3 linked regions of the Drosophila melanogaster genome follow. The protein of the gene in region 1 interacts with the protein of each later gene in a pairwise test. Each region holds a gene or a part of one and is shown in the gene's direction. Other genes may lie near its edges.

The links.
Region 2: the proteins of Wwox (region 1) and CG7582 interact in a two-hybrid assay, tested with the Drosophila melanogaster proteins (one large-scale study listed by BioGRID).
Region 3: the proteins of Wwox (region 1) and PIG-C interact in a two-hybrid assay, tested with the Drosophila melanogaster proteins (one large-scale study listed by BioGRID).

The regions. Positions count from the first base shown.
Region 1 is NT_033779.5:7,999,128-8,006,198, reverse strand, and holds Wwox (WW domain containing oxidoreductase), read left to right. Parts: upstream 1-1,912; 5' UTR 1,913-2,010; coding exon 2,011-2,102; intron 2,103-2,164; coding exon 2,165-2,674; intron 2,675-2,735; coding exon 2,736-2,915; intron 2,916-5,765; coding exon 5,766-5,895; intron 5,896-5,962; coding exon 5,963-6,091; intron 6,092-6,166; coding exon 6,167-6,355; 3' UTR 6,356-6,529; downstream 6,530-7,071. Other genes in the region: Spn28Dc (serpin 28Dc), read left to right, coding at 639-1,548; Sirup (Starvation-upregulated protein), read right to left, coding at 6,649-6,950, 7,032-7,071. UniProt on the Drosophila melanogaster protein: Putative oxidoreductase. May control genotoxic stress-induced cell death. May play a role in TGFB1 signaling and TGFB1-mediated cell death. May also play a role in tumor necrosis factor (TNF)-mediated cell death. May play a role in Wnt signaling.
Region 2 is NT_033777.3:29,679,734-29,683,742, reverse strand, and holds CG7582 (uncharacterized protein), read left to right. Parts: upstream 1-1,701; 5' UTR 1,702-1,876; coding exon 1,877-1,897; intron 1,898-2,446; coding exon 2,447-2,616; intron 2,617-2,678; coding exon 2,679-3,252; 3' UTR 3,253-3,502; downstream 3,503-4,009. Other genes in the region: Gycalpha99B (guanylyl cyclase alpha-subunit at 99B), read right to left, coding at 1-45, 106-341; CAP-D2 condensin subunit, read right to left, coding at 3,565-4,009.
Region 3 is NT_037436.4:3,317,521-3,321,235, reverse strand, and holds PIG-C (phosphatidylinositol glycan anchor biosynthesis class C), read left to right. Parts: upstream 1-2,003; 5' UTR 2,004-2,043; coding exon 2,044-2,544; intron 2,545-2,646; coding exon 2,647-3,006; coding exon of another isoform or gene 3,007-3,084; 3' UTR 3,085-3,208; downstream 3,209-3,715. Other genes in the region: CG12016 (uncharacterized protein), read right to left, coding at 1-491; Dpm2 (Dolichyl-phosphate mannosyltransferase subunit 2), read right to left, coding at 585-721, 1,331-1,439.

The DNA.
Region 1 (7,071 bases):
CTCTTGATGGTGGTGCTCCAAAAGGAAGTATTTATTTTATATTCGAAGATAATATACAACGAGAAAATATTAGAATATATTTTTCTGTGTAGAAATGAGCGTGTAATTCCACTTATATTTATGAATCTTTAAAGCCCAAGCTTTCATTGAGAAATATATATGTACGTACGTACGTATAAAGTTTAGAATATAAATGGGAACCATTGACAAACAAATTTAGTAAGAACTTTTAGTGCGATTGTTTTTATGTAGAGAACTTGAATAAAATTAAATCGGAATTGGAATTGGAATTATCAGTTAATCAAATATTTAATTAGAAACCTTAGGTCAAATAGTAGGTACAATGAATTGCCAAAAATTTGGCAAATAAAAAGCACTGATAAGAATGGATTAACTTAAAAACATAACTAAGACATTTAATTATTTATTTATTCTTCAATTATAGCTGATCAAACATTGCAAAAAAAGCGGAAAAAAACTACTTTCCCAAGTTATTATTTAGCTCACCAGATATTGCAATTCCAACCCATCCCCAGTTCCCCAATACTATCGCTCCACTTTGCACAACGTTGTTGGCATACTAATAGCTGCGCCTTGTTGATTTATTACTCATGAGCTCCACTTTTGTGCAATTCCAGACGGGTGATCGTCGAGGTCTACGCCTCGGATCTGCAGATTCAGGATTTCGAGGGCAGTCCGGCGACAGCACGATACAATATCAATGCTTATGTGGCGCAGCACACAAAGAATCACATCGAGAACATCATCGCCAGCGATATTCCGCAGACCACCAGGATGATTCTGGCCAACGCATTGTACTTTAAGGCATTCTGGGAAACGGACTTTATAGAGTCAGCCACACGTCCGGATAACTTCTATCCGAATGGCGAGGGAACGGAGCCGGTGATGAGGGTGCAGATGATGGCCACCGGTGGTGCATATCCGTATCACGAGGATCACGAGCTGGGCTGCAAGATCATTGGACTGCCGTACAGGGGAAATCTGAGCACCATGTACATCATCCAGCCGTTTAAGTCGTCGGTGAGGGAGCTAATGGCACTGCAGAAACGTCTGACGGCGGATAAGATCGAGAGCATGATCAGCCGAATGTACAGACGGGCCGCTCTGGTGGCATTCCCAAAGATGCATCTTACGGAGTCGGTGAACTTGAAGACAGTCATGCAGCGAATGGGGCTGGGCGGCATCTTTAGCGCGGTGCAGAATGATCTCTCGCTCATCGCCACCAACGAGGCCACGAGGACGAATGCGCTGGGCGGCAACAGCCTGCAGAATCTGGAGGCACAGCGCAGAGCCGGAACGGGTGGAGCACGTTCCGATCTGGTGGTGGATGACATTGTTCACAAAGTGGACTTCACCGTCAACGAGCAGGGCACGGAGGCGGCGGCGTCTTCGGTCACATACCTCAAGAAATCCGGTCCCGATGTCCTCTTCCGCGGAGACACTCCATTCATGGTCCTTGTGCGCCACGATCCCACGAAACTGGTGCTCTTCTACGGACTCATAAATGAGCCCCCGGCGGCCGCTTAGTTTCTAGGATCATAAGTTATTAAGCTTTAGCACCTAAGTTCGTTGACTTTATAGTTAGGAAACTAATAAATCATTCACAATGATGAAAAATAAATTAAAACGTAAATTATGAAAATTTGTATTGGTTTTTGTTGCTGTTGAATCTTTTCACATTATCCTATGTACCGTACAGCAGGCAGATTAAACAATGCCCACAAATGTTCAAGGCGCTAAGTTTCTACAAATCATTTAAATTTAAAAAACAACCGCCAATCAACCGGTTGCGGTTAAAAGCTCTGTTAAACGGAGATGCTGATTATTAGCGGGTAACATGTTTCGTTTAACGGAACAGCTGTTCATTTAGTCGGCAGTTATCGCTTAAGCCGCATGTTATCGATATCTTCAATTATTTTGTATTCTTTTTCGCAATAAAAAGTGTATACTTTAGAAATAAAGCTTTAAATAAGTTTAAATTGATTCGAAATGATAGCCCTACCCGACACAGATAGCGAGGATGAGCTGCCACCCGGCTGGGAGGAACGTGCCACCGATGACGGCACCGTTTGCTATGTGAAGTAAGTCAAAAGTCCAGTGGAGTCGTAAACATTGTCTGATATTTTTTAATTGCACCATTTAGCCAGCAGGGAAAAACATCACAGTGGACACATCCACGTACGGGTCGCTCCAAACGGATCACGGGCGAATTACCCTTGGGCTGGGAGAAGTACTACGATGAGCAGGGAAAGCGTTTCATGTTCCTCAACAAGGAGACGCAGCAACGAACGAATGTGGATCCTCGTTTGGCATTCGCCGTGGAGGAGCCCACACAGAATGTGGCCCAGGTGCGCCAGCGATTTGACTCCTGTTCGACGGCACTGCAGGTGCTGCACGGCAAGGATTTGCATGGACGCACCGCGCTGATAACGGGCGCAAATTGTGGCATTGGCTACGAGACGGCTCGTTCGCTCGCCCATCACGGCTGTGAGATCATCTTCGCCTGCCGGAACAGATCCTCCGCAGAGGCGGCCATCGAAAGGATTGCCCAGGAGCGACCTGCAGCACGTTCCCGCTGTCGATTCGCCGCTCTCGACTTGAGCTCTTTGCGTTCAGTTCAGCGATTTGTGGAAGAAATTAAGCAGAGTGTTAGGTCAGTAGCATAGCTTTCAAAATCTAATATTATTTAATTGATAATTATATTTATATTGCAGCCACATTGATTATCTCATCCTTAATGCCGGAGTATTCGCACTGCCCTACACGAGGACCGTGGATGGTCTGGAGACCACATTCCAGGTCTCGCACCTGTCGCATTTCTACCTCACATTGCAACTGGAGACACTGTTTGACTACAAAACACGGATCATTGTGCTGTCATCCGAGTCGCACAGGTAAGTGTGAATTTGAGCACTTTAGCACGTAATTAGGGAGGGAGGGGGTAATAGAGTATACCAGTTACGAAATAATTCATATATATTCTTATGGTGTGTATAAAAGGTTACAAACTAACCGCTGAACTTAAGTTTTATATTTCGTATGAAATATCAATAGATCAATCTTAAAAATTAAGTATTCAAAAGATATATGTTAAAAAAGGTTACATGGGAAATACAAAATCAACTGGTTATATTTCGCACTATCAGTAAGGGAATTAAAAAGTTATTTACAATTCGATCGTATTGTTTCTTGTATCAATTTTACTATCAGTCACTGTCTCAATAGAAAATCGTCTCTACTTAAGTTAAATAAAATACATCGAAGCTTCAAAATATATAAATTGATGTATTATATATAATTTCTTAAACCTATTTTCTTGAATCAATTTGGCTTATTTCTTTCCTAATTAAATTTCTCAATGTCAGCACTGTTAATCTCGTTTTAATAATTATTATTTTTTTGTTTCTGTTTTTGGCCGGCAAACAGTTGTCATTATTGCAACCTGTTTGTGTGCAAAATGATTATTATCAAAATCACACGGGTATTTTAATTGAAGCTGAATTTGGTGCATGTCACATTCTAAAAATATATATATTTAATATATTTTTAATAAGGAATAAAATAAAATTATATACTTTATGTTTTAACTATCTTAATAACTTTACAATATTAATTTAATTTATTTAATGTAGTTATAAATTCAATAGCTATTTCGTATTCGACACCATCAGTTTTAAATGTGTGTCTGCCATTTCGAGTTGCCTTCTTTTATTTTTGCAAGTTGATTGCACTTTTATGATTCCGCATAGTGGACTTTGCACCCAGCGTTTTCTTTTTTTTCGCACTTTGGGGCCAAACTATTCATAGACCAAACCAGAAATAAATGCATTCCGCCTCAGCCATGCCGTCTAGTGTAATGTTTTCCAAAATGTTTGCCTATTTGCCTCAGATTTGTTTGCGTAAGATGTTTTCCGTTTGATTCGATTTCAAGGCGAAACGTAATTGAACTCAGCTTGGCATATATGAGTATATATTATTCATAGGCTTCGTTTACATATTGTGCTGCGCACTCAGAGGCAAACAAAGAAACACATAAATATAAACAATTACGAGGCCAACGCAGCTGGGTTTTTGTATTATCAAAACCAAAAACGTGCGTACAATAGAGCAATATGATCGAACTCACGTGCAGCTGTAAGCACAGTGGAGTAGAGAGCTCTGAAAATATGATTGTAATCTTTCTTTAAAAAATATCTATGAGATAAATTAACTAAACTGAAGAAAGTATTTTTGTTTTTCTTTTAAAACTAAAACACATTCAGATTAGCTACGCATATAAATCCAAGCAGAGTACTTTTTTTGTAAGATAAACTTTGAATGTTCAAAACTAGCATGCTTTAAATAGATACTATAAATGTAAAAAGTGCCCCTATAATTTTCCTTATCAGCGCTAACTCGCTTAATTAGATTGATTCATTTGTGGCCGCTCGAATGGCTCACTGTGCATGCTGTCAAAGACCAAATAAATCACTGGGTGAGCGAATCTCGTGAAGAGGCACAATACCAATTCAAACTGAACTGGATGTACATATGTATGTACATACATACTGGCTATTGGAGGTGGTTTTGTATCTGCTGCGTTCGTTGCTGTGCTCACGTACAACATTTTTTGGCTTCGCGGAGCATACATGACTATCTGCGAGTACTCCAATGTGGCGCACGAGACTTTTGTTGCACGTTCACACGGGCGAGAAAAAGATATGAATGTTGGTATGGAAGTTCGACTGGTTATCATTTTCAAACATTAAAGATTACTTACAATTAGTTATTCTTGCATCAGCTCACAAAAATTGGGTTATTCATTGTTGCATAGATAAAATATTTTTATTTAAGGTTTCTCTTTTTCAAATAATTATATTTTTGCGTGGGAAAAGTTGTCCAGACATTAAACAATTATTAATTCAATTAGAGTCTTAAGGTAAAGCAACGAGTTATTGTTCTAAAATTAAATGCCATTCAGCAGCAATTTATCTGTCTGTAGAACCTAATTAATTTACATGCAAACAGTCGAAAAGAACGCTTTTTTGCTTACCTACCACAACAAGATACAAATATACATATATAAAAAAAGAAAAAAAATGGAACGCCAACGGGTTTCATTTGTCATGGATGCCAATGGATACCCATACTTATAAATAACACTGAATTTGCATACATTTTGCGACGTTATATTTACATCGCCCCCAAGCCGAGCGCAGATATTCAATAAAATGAAAACAAATCCAAAGTCCAGAAATGTGCGCGCAGATATGTGTTTGTGTATAGAAATGTTTTCATGTTGCGGCATTCGTGGATTCGCAGGAAATGTGCGACTTGCGCATGCGCTACTGCCGAGGATTCCAGAGGCTTCCGCCGAAAACTGGAGATACATAGATACATAGATAGATAGATAGATAGATAGATAGATACATAGATAGATAGTTCGCCATAGAGTTCACTATGCATATCAGAGGGTCCTTGTTCGATTGTGGGGCTTTGTTCCGCCGGCCCCACTTGTTGACTCACGCCATTGTTCGTGGGGAGCCTTTGTGCGCCCTGCACTGCGCTAATTCTGCATCTCATTAATAAAGAGCGCTTAAAGCCGGCTATGCCAGCCGGCAATGGCAATCAAGACTCGTTTCGCGATTGTCGGCCGGCGGGGCCAAAGTCCAGTGAGTTCACTTGGACGAGAAATGTTCATGTGGGTCTCATGTACCGACAAAGAAATGCGTCGCAAATAATCTTAGTTACTAACTAACATGCAGATTTGCCAACCTGCCCGTGGAGAATCTGGCAGTGCATCACCTTTCGCCGCCGCCGGAGAAATACTGGAGCATGATGGCCTACAACAATGCCAAGCTATGCAATGTCTTGTTCGCCCAGGAGCTCGCCCAGGTGAGTCCTTAAATTGGGTCAATTGAATTCCACTTGCCAACCCTTTTTTTTTGTTTTTTTGTTGCAGCGTTGGAAGCAGCGAGGCATTTCTGTTTTTAGCCTGCATCCGGGCAATATGGTGTCCAGCGATTTGTCACGAAACTATTGGTTCTACCGCCTGCTCTTTGCCATTGTGCGTCCCTTCACCAAGTCGCTGGTGAGTTTGGCAATGAGAAGAACTCTCTGTTTTCCCTTAACTTTCACTAATTGCTTTCTGTGCCCCATATGGCAGCAACAAGCGGCTGCCACGAGTATCTACTGTGCGACGGCCAACGAGCTGACCGGATTGTCTGGACTGTACTTCAACAATTGCTTCTTCTGCGAGCCCAGCAAGTTGTCCAAAAGTGCTGCACTGCAGCAGCAACTGTGGAAGCTGAGCGAGAACCTGATTGCCGAGCTTGTGGAGCAGGAGCAGCATTAGCCAAGTCATTTGGCTACTGTTTTTTAAATATATTTATGCATTATGCTACCACCAATGATTCCATTAGGTATAATTTTACATTTTAAACCAGCTATTCATTACAAAGATATATTTTGAATTCTTTAATAGTTTCTGCCCAATAAGTGCAATGCAAATAAACTTTTGTACGTTAAGAATATCATGTATTTTCTTTTTACACTAAACAAGTATACATTTTGATTTGTTTTTAAGTCTTAATGGCTAGCATTTAAATAACAGTCTAAGTACTAGTTAAGGAACTCTTCATTTGGGCACTAGAAATCGGAGACGCGTCCCTTGCGCTCCCAGTCGCCGTAGCGTGTGGGCTCCGGCCCGGCTGGTCCGCCGATCTCGCCCGTATACGGATTGGTCTGATTGGGCCAGGGCTTGAGTGGTTCCTTCTCCTGGTACGGATGTCGCGAGAATTCATCCAGCTTGCCCAGCGGCGTTTTAGCGCGCAGCTTCTTCTGGAAGGCCATTAGCTTCTCGGTGCGCGTCTTTGGTTCCTTGATCTCGACCACCATGTCGCCACCGCTGGCGGTTGCCCGCCAAGCGCCACTCGTCGATAGATAGCTCACTGTTAATGAAAAATTGAAAGAACGTTAGCATCGCCACTCCAGCACAGTGCGCACACACACACACACACACACACACACACCTTGTTTGCCCATTTGGGGCAGGACTCGCGCCGTTTGTCT
Region 2 (4,009 bases), on another chromosome or scaffold:
TAGTCATAGTTGGCACAGCTCTTGAAGGTTTGCGGATCCAGTTTGCTAGGGTATATTTAGATATAGTTTATATCTAGTATATAATTTCTTATAATGCTTACTTACAGCTTGTGGATATTGGGCCAGTTCTGGCGGTACTTGGCCACCAAAGACGTTACAGCCGTGTTGAGATCCTCGTTCGACGGCGCCGTCAGCAGCTGGATGGCCATCTGGAGGTGGGTGAGGGTCAGGGCGTCGTCCGAGAGCTCCTCGTCCTCGAGCGCCCAGTGGCCACCAGGCTCGGCGATGACCGAGGGCTGGCGTGTCAGCGAGTCCGCACGCCTGAAGAAAGGACACGCCATGTCGCGTGCTCGCCTCTCGGGTGGCCTCTATTCGATCTATTTTGGGGGATTTGTGTGGTGCAATTAGTGGCTTATACAATTTAACAATTCAATTATTGAACGCAAATCAATCAAACTTGATAAAATACGCGTTTGCATTTTATTGCATAATTTGAGGTATGAGATAAAAAGAACACTTTTCAATACTTTCAAAAACCCATTAAGAGCATTTAATCAATTCAAGTGAAATTATAATTGAGATGTGTGTTTTCTCCGGAAATACAGTCATCTAATCGATGTGTATCGTGCATTTTCCGCCCGGGGCTTTTCTCTGCTCTTTTCTCAAGTTCAACGTGCACTTGTGTGAGTGGGTGGCTGGCCTGCTACGTGCACCACCCACTGGTGGCCCACATAGGCTCGAGTCCCTGCAGTGTCTTGTGTGGCTTTGCTCCTTGGAGGTCAAGTGTGTGGCAGTCCTTCTTTATTTCGTTCTTGGCAAGGATCCCACTCGTGCTTTCTGGCCAGTGGCATTACCATAATTTCGTTTTGCATAATTTACGAGCTCCGCTCCTGCCCCAATCCCCGCCAGCTGCTGCTGCCCGATGTGTGTCACACTGGTCAGCTTTAATTTTCACCACCTCCTGCTTTCTACAGGAGTGTGTATTTGCCTGCAGGAAGCACCCACGGATACACAATTTTCCAGCTCAATCAAGCAAGGTTTTTCCACTTGGGACACTCGAACGCCTAACAATAGCATACTTTTGGGCTAGCACTTACTTGGTTAAGAAAATAAAAATTCTTTCGCTGGCCTCTTGGCTTTATGCTCACTTTAAAGCAGTGACCAAAATTGCTGTGGAAATTCTTGGAGCGCTGAGGAATTTTTTCGCACGCCTGAAAAATGCCACAATCCGAAACGGAATGAACTTTGGGCCACAGTAAGGTGGCGAAAAAGTCCGGAGCCAGCCAAGCTTTGCGGAGAAAGCTTTGGCAAGTGAAAGTGTGCAGAGGTTGTTGCATTGTTTTGAAGATACAAAGAGAGCGGAGAGCGGAGAGCGAGTGCGCATGAGTGTATCTCACGGATACATTCTGATGCTGGCGGAAAAGCTCTGCCCAACGGTCAATTCTCAATTAACCTGTTGCGTGAGCAGCGCTCTCCGAGTTTCCCGCTCTCCACCAAACGGCAAAGGTAAGAAATAATCAATCTGCCCTCCTGGGCCCGCAAAATGTATCTGTATCTGTATCTGTGGGATATCCGTATCTGCAGAATGCTGCATATGCTGCACACCACATGTCCGGCTGAAAACTTTTCACTCTCCAGCAATCGGAAACTTTTCAGTCCAGCGAATCGAAAATGTATATGATACGCCTCAGTTTATTGACGTTGGCCGACCGTGCGCAACGTGTTCTTTTTCCATTGTTTTCATTTTCGGGGGGGCACTGTATAGTTTTGTTTATTTTCCATTCCGCGCTCGCATCGTGTGAAAGTGCAGCTTGGCTGGCTCGGATTTTTTTTTAACCCTCTCTAATAGTTGTAATTTGCACTAATTACGGCCGCAATGAACGATTTCGGGCAGTTCGTAAGTAGCGCAGGTTCTGGAATTCAGGAATCTCACGGTCTTAAGCTTCATTGATAATATAGAAATTATGCGAAATATGTATATGTGTGCATTGCGGATGCTCTATCTAAACGCAGAAAGTGGAACCAAGACGCAGCACACAAAGCTTCGTCCTTGACCTTGCACATCTCTCGGTTCTCCGGACGGGCGCACTTCGAAAGCTCCTGCATTGAAAGCGAAAGTTTGAAGGACCACTCGAGTGCCGCCCACCACCCGAGCCCATTAGACCCCCCCTTAATAATTCCATGCAAAGCCCATTTATGTTTGGTGACGAGGTTCCGTCGAGCCAACCCCAAGAACCAACCCTAATCTAATCTGCCCCCCGAAACGGTTCGATTTCCCTAATCACTTGATTTGGCTGTAGTTTGGACCTCCGTGGCTCGATTTGTTATAATCGTTTAAGCTATTTTAAGACCAGGCAACATGTTAAGCCTCGTAATCATATTAAGATAATTATTGTAAATACTTAAAGCAATATATTTAAAATTATGTACTATGTATCGATTATAGGCTAAGTCGCAAGGCCCAAAGTTGGTGCCATTCCTGGTTACTATTGTCCTATACTTCTCGCTGGTGAGGAAGGATCCTCAAGGAGAGCTATGGACCACCGTGCTCAAATGCCTGCCCATTTTCGCGCTTGTATTCTATGTGGTGGCCAAGGGAATCTCGCTCAAGAAGGAGTAAGCTTTATAGCATCGAAATACTATATACTACTTACTTATTAACAAGAAATTTTTAACAGATACCGTCGCTCACTTTGGATTCTATTGGGTCTGGTTTTCTCGAGTGGTGGTGATGCTCTGCTCAACATAAATCTCTTTCCCTTCGGAATGATCTCCTTTGGAGTGGCGCACGTGTTTTATATCAGCGCCTTTGGCTGGAAGCCCATAAAGTGGTTCATTGGACTGCTCTTGTACGTGGCCGTATCGCTTTGTAAGTTTACTGGTCATTATATACGTATACCTTACCTGGAATATTTGAAACCCCCAGTTGTTTACTTCGTGCACACGAAACTGGACGAGATTCTCATCATCGGAGTGCCCATCTACTGTTTCCTGATCACCACAATGCTGTGGAGATCGCTGGCCCGCGCCGTGGACTCCAGGAACTTCCTCGCCGTGTTCTGTGCCATCGGAGCCATTCTGTTTGTGATCTCCGACGCCCTGATCGCGGTCACCATGTTCGTGGGCGTGCCCCTGCCCTGCGCCCGCCTCCAGATCATGATCACCTACTACGCCGCCCAGTTTGCCATTGCGCTGAGCACCGCGGACGACGGTCCTGCCCTCCAGCGCTCCCTTCGCAAGAAAATTAAGTGAAGCCAGTGCCCAGTGCTCATCTGTCGGAGGCCCAGAGACAACATGAACGCAACCACCAAACTTAGTACTTCCAAAGCGTCTAGAGTATTGCCATTTACGTGTGTTGGTTTCCCCATCCCAGTAGCTTAGTGCAACCAAATATTTGTTCCCTTTCTGATGGATGTGGAAACGGATCTTAGTAGTTTACTAGATGTTTGTTGACTTCAAAGTAATAAATATATCAATAATAGGTTCTATTAACTATTTTATTAAAAACCATCTTTGTACATCATTAAAAACCCGCTCAGATCGTAACTTAAGATGGAGCACGAACTAGTCGCTGCTGCTGGAACTGAAGCTCTCTTCTGAGGTGGAATCCCGGCGAGCACGTCTTCCGCGTCCTCGCACAGTATTGTTCCTGTTGGCCGCCGGCTTGCGACCACCCTTCTTTGTCCTTGGCGCCGCTCTGGTTCTGTTGCCCTGACCTTCTGGAGTGCTTTCTTGATCACCCTGGGCAGCGGTATCCGGGTTGACTTGCAGGCACTCGTTCAGTCGGTTCTCGAACTCGGTGACTACAGCTTTGAGCTCCGGCTTGGCCAACTTGTTGGTGTTGCTAATGATGAGCTTGAAGGACTGATAAACCTCGTCCACCTGGACCTTGTCCCTGTAGTGCTGCATATTGTCCATTAGCTTCTTCACAGCTCGCTCGTTGTAGGTGAGCAGGCCGAGGCAGTAGGCGATGTCGCGCCATTGACGCTCCACCCGCGTTACCGGGAAG
Region 3 (3,715 bases), on another chromosome or scaffold:
TGCTGGATTTGATGGTGCTGGTGGTGGTGCTGCTGGTGATGGGGGTGATGTCTCGGGTGCTGCTGTGGCGGATATTGATAGACCCCGCCATTGGCCTGTTTGTAGTAGTTCGCATTGTACTGGTACTGCTGCTGGAACTGCTGGGCGTAGTGCTCGAAGTTGGCATACGTCACAAGGTGCTCCTGTGGCTCGGGAGCCACATGGCGCCCCTTGATTATGTGCGCTATGTCGTTCAGCATCTTGGCCATGTCCAGCGAGGTGATGAGCTCGAAGTTGATGGCGTTGAGCGCCTCATTTCGCTGATGTCGCTTGTCCTCCACGGGCAGAAAGTAGTCATCCTGCGAGATCAGACGCACCTCGCCAATGGTGTACGGCGAGTTCCACAGCGGCGCTCCTCTCAGACCCTTGAAGTAGTCGTGCAGGCTGTGGGCTAGCGTAGTTTTGCCACCACAGGTGACTCCCGAGATACCAATGACCAGCCACTGCGGCATCTTGTCCACGACTGACTATCGCTCTTCCTTGTTTTTCAGTGGAATCGTACGTTCGCGTTCGCACCGAGCAAGATAACCCCCCGGATAACCCCCTTAATCACGTTTCACTCTCAGGCTCCAGATGTGGTAAAAGGAGAACGCGGCGATGCCGCCGAGGAAGATCACCCCGAACACGGTGGGCACAATGAAAGCGTACTTCAGCGGTGGAAAGAACAGCCGAATGGGATTGCCTGTAAAAGTTTGTAAAGTATACTCATGTTCACAAGTGTTTCATTTGATAACAGGCCAGGAAAGAAAATACGTAAGTATATTGTTTTTATGATTACTCTTAATAGCAACAAATTAAAATTGTCACGGAACGGCAAAACTACGATCATGAAATATTTACGTATAAAGTGAAGAGCCAATATCCAGGCGGAAAAACTACCGAAAATAATTAGCTAAGTACACACCCAGATTTGGAACCACATAATACAGTGGTACCACTGGTTAAGCACGTTTTCGTTTTTATCGCTGATTGTACATGCCTAGACTCTACAATAGCTAACTAGTTTGACTGTGCACATATCGGGCGAATACTGTACTCCTATCATCACTAGTCGTCGGTGACCTTGACCCGAGCTTAGAGCATCGTACAGCCGCATTCCAGGTAACCCGTGTTAGGGTGGTCACCTCTGTAAAACACACGGGTTCATCCTCGTACACTGCCAACTATATATAATTGAACATCGTGACCAATTTACGCCGCGGCGTCACTTTAATTACTATACAAAAGCGCGAGATTATTCAATAAAACTTATGTATTAGCGGGTGAATAACGGAAGCCGTGGAAAACTCACCTTCATCGATGAGCATAAACGGGAGGACGGCCACCCAAAAGAAGTAATAGAAGAACACGGCGATTGCAGATATCAAAATGATTTTCCCGAGTTGCGCATTCGAAGCCATAAATAGCTATTCTCGGAAATTCTGGGGTTTCTCTGGCGAGAGAACACGCGACCGGCGATTTGTTTGTAAAACTGCTCATGGGGCGTTCTCCCCGGACGGACTGCTTCACTGTCCACTGATCGTTTACCCGCCGCACGAATCCCTAATGTTTTTTCGTAGCTGCCGATTTACTTTCGTGGCGTAATTGTAAACAAAACAAACAAGTGCGTCAAAAAATTTCCGAATTCAAGGTAGTGGTGGTTCAACCACTCGAACAAGTATCGATAGCTCGAGTAACTGTTTTGCGCAACACCAGCGGATGTTCTTATCGATGTAGGCGAGTCACTTCTGCTTGGGGATAATTTTCAGAATAAGATTTGTATATTATTAGCTTGCTGTAAAACCCCTTGTTTAGATAATGAACAGTTTATTAATATTTCAAATTAAACTATCATCATCGATATTTCAAGTGAAACATGCATCACTATGACAGTGTGACCAGCACTTACTTTCAATACTTTTCAGTGGATAAAACAATATCGATATGTCGATAGTAACTGATACTATCGAACGCTGATAACCCAGCACTAATAGAATTGTAAACAAACAATTTTTAAATTTAAGAATGGTAAAAAATGGGCAATCGAAACGGCAGCCATGGGTGAAGAACCTGTACTCCAACCGGGAATATCCGGACAACTACACGGATGCCAGCTTTCTGAAGGATCTGCGCACGAATCTACATTGTAGAATATACACGTTCGGCGAAGCAATTGCCGGTATTACAGTGCTTAATAATCAGATCTCCTGCATCACCGGCTTCCTAATACTCTACCAACTTATGCTCAGCGACAGCGTGTCGCCCACCACGATCCTGGTACCCAGTTGCGGGATCACAGGCATTGGATACCTGTGCTACCGAGGAAGGAGTCTCAGCTGGGCCCTGCTGGGCGAGGATTCCAAAACCCTGGTCACAGTGGTCCTCTTCGGCTACTTATTCTCACCGATGCTGCACACCCTAACGCAGGCCATCAGCACGGACACCATATACACAATGACCTTCTTTGTCCTTCTGGGCAACCTGATATTTGGACACTATGGATTGGATGTAGCCATGGTCTCTAAGGTAGGCAATATTTACGGCTATTGGTGTTGATTGTATATTGATCTTGACTCCACCTCAGAATCCTATATAATACAAATACTTCTTGTTCCATGTTAAGCGCAGGCCGTCTCGTTGAATGCCGCCATATTTGGAGCAATTTGCTTAGCCTCCCGCCTGCCGACTTCGTATCACGCCTTCGTGCTCCTTGTCGAGGCTGCCGTCTTTTTCGTCCTTTATCCCATAATGACGGAAGCGAATTGGCATGCTGGATTCATGTTGCCTATATTTGCAATATGCTGTATGGCGCTGTACTGTATATCGCGCCCGGTGCTCTATCTCTACGCCTCCACCACCATTTTCATCAACTTTGTCTGCCCGTTCATATTCGTGTGGCAGCAGCAGTACAAGTTCAACATTCACGGGCCCTGGGACGAGGCCATCGTGGAGGAGAACACCGAGGAGAACCTGGATGGGAACTTATAGCGCCAGCTGCGCTTCTCAGAACAGTTGCCGCCACGACTGGGTAGCGGCGACGTCGAGGAGCACTTCACTGATCGCTAAACCATTGCACGCTTATTTTTATAACTTTGTAAACTCATTCCAAGCCATTGATGTTAATCTTTTGTATCATGTTATATCTGTTAGTTTGTAAGTAGCGTTTTAATAAATTATACTTTTTGTGTTTAAAACCATAGCACTTTTAAATTTGTGTAATTTTTAGGGGACTTTCTTTTGGTCCTATGAATGGCTTTTTAAATAAATTGTTATCAACTTAAGGCAAAGGTTTTTCAATTGAAAGATAATGGAGTTAAATTAACAGGGTGAGTTTTTTGGCTTGGTTGTGTTTTACTCAGACTAAAAATAAATTTAGTTAAAGATTATTTATCGTCAGCGACTAAAACCCGTTTCGTAGATAACAATTAAACATTCGCATGAGCATACATTGAATATATTTGACCCTATCTAACGCAAATAAATTGAAGCAATTGCTTTAATAATAGACTATGGAATATGGATGAGTGACATCTGTATTAAGTGCACGCCCTTGGGTTTCCCAGAAGTTCCTAGTCTAACCAGAGATTTAATTATTTTAGTATTCTGCGTTTTACCTATCTATGTAATGCATGCTGTCCTGCAAGCTACTTCCACAGTTTCAGTAAGCATTCTTGAGAGATAAATAATCCAGATTACA